Astyanax mexicanus: one gene and its partner. The protein of the gene in region 2 interacts with the protein of the main gene of each other region in a biochemical or structural test. Links are inferred from orthologs where the notes say so. Each region holds a gene or a part of one and is shown on either strand. Other genes may lie near its edges. The genes, in order: dlst and siah2l.

Region 1 (3,926 bases), on a different chromosome or scaffold from region 2:
CCTGCACTTCCAGATTACAAATTTGTAGAACACAGTTGGAAGGCCCTTTATTGACAGGTACAGAGGTCATAGAGACAAAGATTACACAGAAGGTACGGGAAGGCCTACCAACATACCACCAAGAAACCTATTTATCAGTTATTTTATGTTTCTCAAAGACAAATGCGCTGGTATTGCAGCAATTTTTGCCATTGGTTTTTCCCAAAAAAACATTGAATAACAAATATGGTCTCCAATTCAGTCCTTTTTCTCAAATTGTGTGCCAGTTTACCCTATGCCATAAAACCAACCTCAAAATGGACACATGATTTATTTCAGAAAATAAAACTGTAACCTACAGGCCACTACAGGGTGTAAACAAGTCATGCAAGAAATTAAAATGGACAATATCAAGGTCAGCAAAAATTAATAGGGTCATGTCCATTTATTGTACAATAACAATTATTGTGACAGTTACATTAAGGATAACACTTAAGATTAGAAAGTAGTTGTTTAATAATATAATATAATGTAGTTTAATAAATAAAATTTAAATAAAAAAAAGTAGAACAAACAGACATGGCCTTAATAATTTGTGCAGACCTGAAGATCCACTGTGTTCATTTAATGGGGAGATCACATTAACGCAATGTACTTCTTACATTTTTTTTTAAACTTCTTATTAAATCTTATTATATTGAGTGTTAAAACTTCGTTTGAATTGAATGTCCAAATATTCTTAATAATCAGATGTTTACTGCTTGTTAAAAGACTGTAATTGTAAAAAAAAAAAAAAGAAAAAAGAAATGTTATGATTATATCAGTTGTATAAATTGATAACAATAACAGTGTTTGTGACTAGTATTGTGACTAGGCAGCTTAATGGCATATATATATTAAGAAAGCTGAAAGGTCACTCAGTAAATGAGTTAATGCTGCAGTGTTTACAGAAGATAACTAGCTAGTGTAATCAGCAATTAACCTTTGAATAAAAGTAAAAAAAAAATAATTTCAAGAACACACTACTGCAACAAAATTAATGCAAAGTAAAAGTAATGTAATTATCCTGAGATACTAAGCGATCATTTTGAGATGTTCTCATTATTTTGAGGTAATAACAGATTGTACACATGCTATGTAAAGGCTCAAAATACTGACCTAGACTCTTAAAACTGAGATAGTACCTTTAAAAGTAAGATAGTAAAGTAAAATAATGACTTAGTATCTTACACATAAGACAGTTTCTCAAATGAATGACTTGAGGTTCTTAAAACCTAAGAAAGCAGCTTAAAATAATGACTTTAGTCTCTAGAAAAACGACTTAGTATCATTAACCCAAGCTAGTATCTCAAATTAATGACTTAGTATCGTAAAACTAAGACAGTGTCTTAAACTAATGACTAAGTATTTTGGAAATTAAGATAGAATCCCAAAATAATGACCAAGTATGTAAAAAGATTATATCTTAAATTAACGACTTAGTATCTAATAATTGCGACTTAGTATCTCGGAATAATGACATATTACGAGAAGGTCTATTAAAATGTGTTAAACGGTGTTAGTGAGTTTATAGTGCAACAGTAGTGAAACTAGCTTGGTTACCAAGGTGTACAAGGAGGACTTTGCCATGTTAGCTTAATGCTAGCTAGGAAAATGGAGCCACAAACTTTACAAAGCATATTTTAAAATATACTGACTCCCAACTTAACTACTTTAGTTTAGCTTAGTATTTAAAAACTAGGTGTCAGGTCTGAAATAAAAACAGTGCTAATTAGTTAGGTTAGGATAACTAAAACAACTACTAGACATAACTACAGCAGTTTGTAGCGAATGTGAAACTGGCAAACCAGCCATTTGCATTAGTGTTAGCCTAATGTACAAACCAAAACACGGTGTACAACAGTAAATTAAAGAGAATAAACAAATAGACAGCGTTACTGTAGACACATTGGTATCCTAATAAAGCTATTTCGATAGCTAGCTAGCTAACGCGGTGTTGTCTGACCTCTGTAAACGGACAGATACTGGAGGAGACAGGAAGGTTTAATGCTAGCTAGGTAAGCTGAGCTAAGCTAAACTAAGCTAAGCTAACTAGCATTCAACATGGAAGACCCTTTAGGGAGAGTTTCTGCAATGACCTCAGCCAAGCATTCACTAAACCACAGGAGAAACTGCAGGAATAAAGGCCGTTTCCAGCGTATAAATATGGTGTTAATGCCATTAACTTATCTACATACTTATGTTAATAAACGGTTATCTAGATAACGAGGTAATGGGGTGGGTACGGCAGCGGTGACATACTGCCCTTGGTCCAGCGGGCGAGGCCTAGCAGAGCTACAGCCAGCGCCGCCCGGCCTGCAGCAGCGGCTGCCCGTGAAAGCAGCGCGGGTACAGTCAGCCCTAGACCGCAGGAGCTCAGCGCACGTACCTGCCGGAGGGCGGAGATGGAGCGGCCGAAGGTGCGGGTGAAGCAGCGGGAACGGGACAACATATCGGCAATCCGCGCCTGCCGGACACAGAGCGGTAAAGGCCCGCAGGAGGGAGCAGGAGAAGCGGCAGAGAGACACAACCACGCCGGGGCGAACCAACAGCAGCCAGCGGGAGGGGCGGAGGATCAGCGTGGATTATACCAAAGCTAAAAACTCCCTCACATGTCCAAAAGTTTGTGGACAGCTGCCCAACCTGTTCTGTACTGCAGTAGGTTAGCTATGCCTAATAATTTAGTGGACACTAGGTGTGAGCAATATGGCCCTAAAATAATATTACGATATTTCTTGGCGACATGACAAAACATTGAATTAAAACTAATAATAATTTCAAGAACACACCACTGCAACAAAATCAATATTATTTGACAGTATTGTTGCATACGATATGAAATGGCACACTACTAATTGAGATTTCCACCAGATTATAATATTAAGTAAGTAAATGAATCAACATGTCATTATACTAATAATGCACTCCATATATTCAGGATTGAAGTAAAATAAATTAAATTAAGATAGTATATCGAAATAATGATTTAGTAACTCAAATCTGAGATAGTAAATCTAAATAATAACTCTGCATTTAAAAACTGAGATTTATTTTAACTGAGTTTATTAAAATAATAACTTGGCATTTCAAAACTAAAATAGTATATCAAAATAATAACTTGGCATTTCAAAACTGAGATTGTTTTTCTCAATGATCAGCTGGTCTCAAGCTGGATTTTTTTTAGCAGGGAATGCATTCCATATATCCAACACTAAAGTAAAAGAAATTACACTTCACAGATATTATTTCTCTAGTAGATATGTAAAGGTAAGTGTTAACAGTGTGAATTTTTATTTTGCTGCAAACAGCAAAAAAAGTTGTACCCTGATGGCCAATATGGCCCTAAAATAATATCACAATATTACAGGGTATTTTTGCATTAACAATATTATTGGCGATAAGACAAAACATTTATAAATAATCATTTCAAGAATACACTACTGCAACAAAATGAATATTAAATCTGCCCATAGTGTTGCATGCGATGATATTGCACACCTTGAACTGAGATTGAACTAGCATTTATGGGTAAAAAGCTACTACCCTCTCCCTAACACCCAATTTCTAAAAGCGATAATGACTATAATGTTATATTAAAATGTTAATGCTGATAAATTTGGGATGCACTAGGCTTCCTGTTTCAGCTGCATATATGCCCATTGGAAATGAATGTATTTTAGTACAATGTAAATATATTAAAGAACCCGCATTTAGATATTTTTTGCTCGAGTTCTTTTGAGTCTCTGCCACAGACATCCTGAGGTGTGGCTGAGGGGCTGTAGTGGTGGCACTTACAGTCCACAAAGAGGGCCTCTTAAACTAAAAAGTTTGAGAATCGCTGGGCTACAGGGGTATAATGACCCACAGTATTATGCTGTGGAGTAATGAAACTGTGTTCTTTAGATTGA
Region 2 (3,926 bases):
CAATTAGCTTTGAAAGAGCGCGCTGACGTACTGATCCTGAATCTGTAACCAAAGGCTTTAATTGGCTTAAACGTTGATGGTAAGTTTGTAAGGACAACGGGTAATGAGTGTTGGCTCATTTTCTTCCTAAGGTCATCTTACAACATGCTGAGTAAGTTCTAATGTTATCATCTGTTTAAGGTGCCATTATCTGATGTGATTCTTGGATTTTATTTAGTTTCAGCCATGAAATTCACTTATGATGTTGTGTTTATGTATCAGAAACAACTGTAAGAGATGTGTCTATTACCTCTGTTCATAGGCTTTCCTCATTTTAAAAGGCAGCCAAGTTTATAACACTATTAGGGATGCAACTAATCTGTCTATTAATTATTTTTACTAGTTGATTAGTCAACATTTACTTTAGTCATGCCCTCCCTTCATGTCTGCTTCCGGTCGGCAAGGTTCCTGTTCCGATGTATGTTTTACCAAACTGTGACAGCTTAAATCTTAGGACCCTTGGTACATTTTGCAGGATATTTCCAAGTAGGTGAACATAATGCAGCATACATCTAGCAATATGCTTCAAGAACACTTGCTGGTAAAAGAAATACTACAATTTAACAAGTCAGCCAAAAGCTCTAATCAGATGGGATTAGTTTTACTTGGGGATGTTGAGCAATGCTTACAATTTTATGCAGAGTATTAGTCCAATTTCTGACAGATTTGAATATAATTGCCATGTACTAGAAATAGCACAAAACGTAAGGACATTTGTGGTTAGTAGATTATTTCTAAGTTGTAACAATGCTTCTTGGCAAAAAATCTTATACCGCTGGAAAGACTGATAATTTTACTTTTAATTTGTGCCACATTTTTAAGGAAAATGCAATTGTGGAATAAGTAGCAGAGCTGAGTATGTTGAATATGGCTTGCACCCATGAGAACTTTGCCATATCCTCTCTGCCAATGCCAATCAGCTTATTCTGTCATTGACTCGTCTTCTTGGGGTGTTGTCTTCTTGGAAAGCCCCTTTGAGGCCTTTCTCTGACACCCACATGGTGTCAGAGAACTGGTACTATGGCTCACTTCAAATAATGTCACAACTTGGTTTTGAGGAACACCAGCATGAAGTTGTTCTATCGCATGAGCCCTATACAGATCAGTCAAACAAGGCATGCTGTTTCTTGGAGCAGACACCAATTAACCACTGTAGCAGGGCCCATGCTTGATTGGAAGCACCTGGGGGTACCAGAAGCTCAAAACTATTGTCAATAGCCACAGCAAAATAAGATGTTTGGCACTGACAGAGAAGATTTTCCTTCCAAATGTGGCAACATTTAATAGGGTAATTAACAGGCTTTTTAACAATATACGATTTATTGCAAAGAATCATTGTTACTACAAAGAAATAATCTACCAGACACAAATGTTCTTACTTGTTGCGCATTTCAAAACAGGCTGCTATGCTGCTTTGGGTCCACAATTAAAGTGGTTAGTAAAGTAGTGTCAGCGCTGTGTGTCTGTAACTATGCTGAAGTTGTTCATCAAAACCTGTGGTATCAGAAGCTCAAAACAAGAGTCAATAGCAACAGTAAAAATAAGCTGTTTGGCAATGACAGAGAAGATTTGGCAGATATTTCATGGGCACAAGCTACATACTCAGCTCTGTTGCTCATCCCACAAATGAATGTTCCTTACAAATGTGTCAGCATTTATTATGGAAATAAACAAGCTTTCACTTCAACGACATAAAAGATATGATGAAGAAATAATCAAATTGCCGTTTTAAACTTGTCACATTTATAAACAGGCTGCTCTGCTGCTGCATGTCCAGGTTTATTGGGAAGAGGGGGGATAATGGTACATTATGACATTTTGTTATAGCTAAACAATGTTTGGAGACTTCTGTTCTTATTTATTTCCATGAAATGAGCCTTTACATCCCTTAAAACAGCAGGAGAGGGTGCAGAACCGAGGCTTTCCCGTTTCTAAACACCTGTAGCGTTGTAAACTTGAGCTAATGGAGACTCACTTCCTCAAACACTCACTCCTCCTGTGAGTCGTGAGGGCGCTGTCAAACCAAGCCAAAAAAGTGAGGTAGCTGGTGAGGTAGATAGATAGGAAATAAAGTAACGTTATACAAAAAGTGGTGTGAAAAGTACAGTAGTGTCACAGCACTGCGTGTCAGTCTGAAACTGTGCTGAAGTTTCTCAGGCTTGGTAAAGCTCTCTAACGGGCTGTCAGGAGCTCCTCTCTCTCTTACCTTGCAGGGGAAGGGCAGCGTGGAGGCGACTTTCTCCATCGCCAGGTTCCGTATGCTGGGTGTGAGAGGCCCGCGGCAGGTCGGGCAGCAGCTCAGCTTCTGTCGACATTGGTTGCAGACCAGGTGGCCGGCCTGGCACTGCAGGATCGGCGGCAGCACGTAGTCGAAGCACACTGGGCACTCGAACAGCGCCGTCAGCTCGGCCGACTGTCCGGGTAGAGCAGCAGCAGCAGCGGCGGCAGCAGCAGCAGCCGCAGTAGGTAACGTTACAGCGGTCGCAGCAGTCACAGAACCGGACCCAGAGACGGAGCCCGAAACCCCCGCAGCAGCCGCCGCCGCTGCTGCTGCTGCCGCGGCCGCAGCGGCTGCAGCAGCGGCAGCTGCCGCCGCTCCTCCTCCTCCTGCTGCTCCGGAGCCGCCGTGTTTACTCCCTCCTCCCGCCTTACCGGCTCCCAGTCCTCCGCCCGCTCCTCCCGCTGAGGACGGACGGCTCATGGCGAAGCGGGCAAACTAAGGTTAACCGACAGTTTTAACCCACGACTCGGCTGGTATGAGAGCGGTGCTCACACACACACACACCGGCAGCGGCGGCGGCAGCTCGTAGTACAACACACGCTCCTCTTCTCCCAGACCCAAACACACACACACACTCATACACACACACTCAGTCACACACTCATACACACTCATACTCACACACACCCGCGGATACAACATGGCCGCCACTGTTTGAGAAAAAGGAGCGAGGTCATTGGCTGACAGCGCTGTGATTGACAGCCGCCTAAGCCAATAGCGAGGCGGATGGAGGCTCTTGTGTAACGGCTGTGTGTGTTTACACGCAGCGGCTTGTAGTGACGGAGAGAGTGAAAGTGAGCGGAGCGGATCAGCGTGACAAACAGCCGCTCGCTCTCTCTCTCCACTGATCTCGGATCGGTTTCACCCAGTGTATCGGTCGGTATTATTGGTATTATTGATCGCATGCCGTATCAGAGAAAAAAAAAGAATGCATATTTTCACAAACAAATTTAACCTAGTTATAATTACTGCCTGCCCTCATCGAAGCTTCATGCTGTAAAATAAATGTGATCATAAAATGAGAGAAGTTCAGTTCGGATCCCTTTATCAGATTTACCTTTGGAGTGATCATATAAACAAAAGTATTAAAAGTACTGGCATTCATTACTCAGGTAAATTAGTGGTACAGATAGTAGGCTTATAGATAATATAGGTAAGGAATTTGGGGGCTCCAAGCAAAATGGACCCCTGTTCCAGTTCGTTACTAGCATGGACGCCCAGGCAGGTAGCTAACAAACAGTTGTTGTCTGGAGCCCCAGGCCAGCTCAGGCCTCAAGGCAAAGGATTGGTTTGCTTGCCTTGTTGCAATGGGCCTGATTAGGGTTTACAATATTTCTGTAGAAGCTGAAGTATCAACTGAAGCTTTATACCTAAGTACAAATACTGGTTTCAAAACTACTTTAAGATTAAATTAAAAAAAATATCAGTGGATTAAATGTGATGCAGATAGGATTTCTTAATTTATCAGGCTATCATTAACTTATATATGTAAATGACCTCTGCTGACTGACTTCCCTCTATAATGCCACATTCAAAAAGAAGCCCAGAGAGAAACACTGTTTGTAATGCTAAATGAATGGTAATAAACTGAACAGGCAGATATATG

Evidence for each region.
Region 1: the proteins of siah2l (region 2) and dlst form a complex in vitro, tested with the Homo sapiens proteins (2 studies listed by BioGRID, with this or other methods). The link is inferred for Astyanax mexicanus from reciprocal best matches to the Homo sapiens genes SIAH2 and DLST.

What each region holds. Positions count from the first base shown.
Region 1 is NC_064421.1:13,690,661-13,694,586, forward strand, and holds the start of dlst (dihydrolipoyllysine-residue succinyltransferase component of 2-oxoglutarate dehydrogenase complex, mitochondrial), read right to left. Parts: upstream 2,580-3,926; 5' UTR 2,471-2,579; coding exon 2,408-2,470; intron 1-2,407. UniProt on the Homo sapiens protein: Dihydrolipoamide succinyltransferase (E2) component of the 2-oxoglutarate dehydrogenase complex. The 2-oxoglutarate dehydrogenase complex catalyzes the overall conversion of 2-oxoglutarate to succinyl-CoA and CO(2).
Region 2 is NC_064424.1:17,165,603-17,169,528, forward strand, and holds the start of siah2l (E3 ubiquitin-protein ligase Siah2), read right to left. Parts: upstream 2,972-3,926; 5' UTR 2,741-2,971; coding exon 2,246-2,740; intron 1-2,245. UniProt on the Homo sapiens protein: E3 ubiquitin-protein ligase that mediates ubiquitination and subsequent proteasomal degradation of target proteins.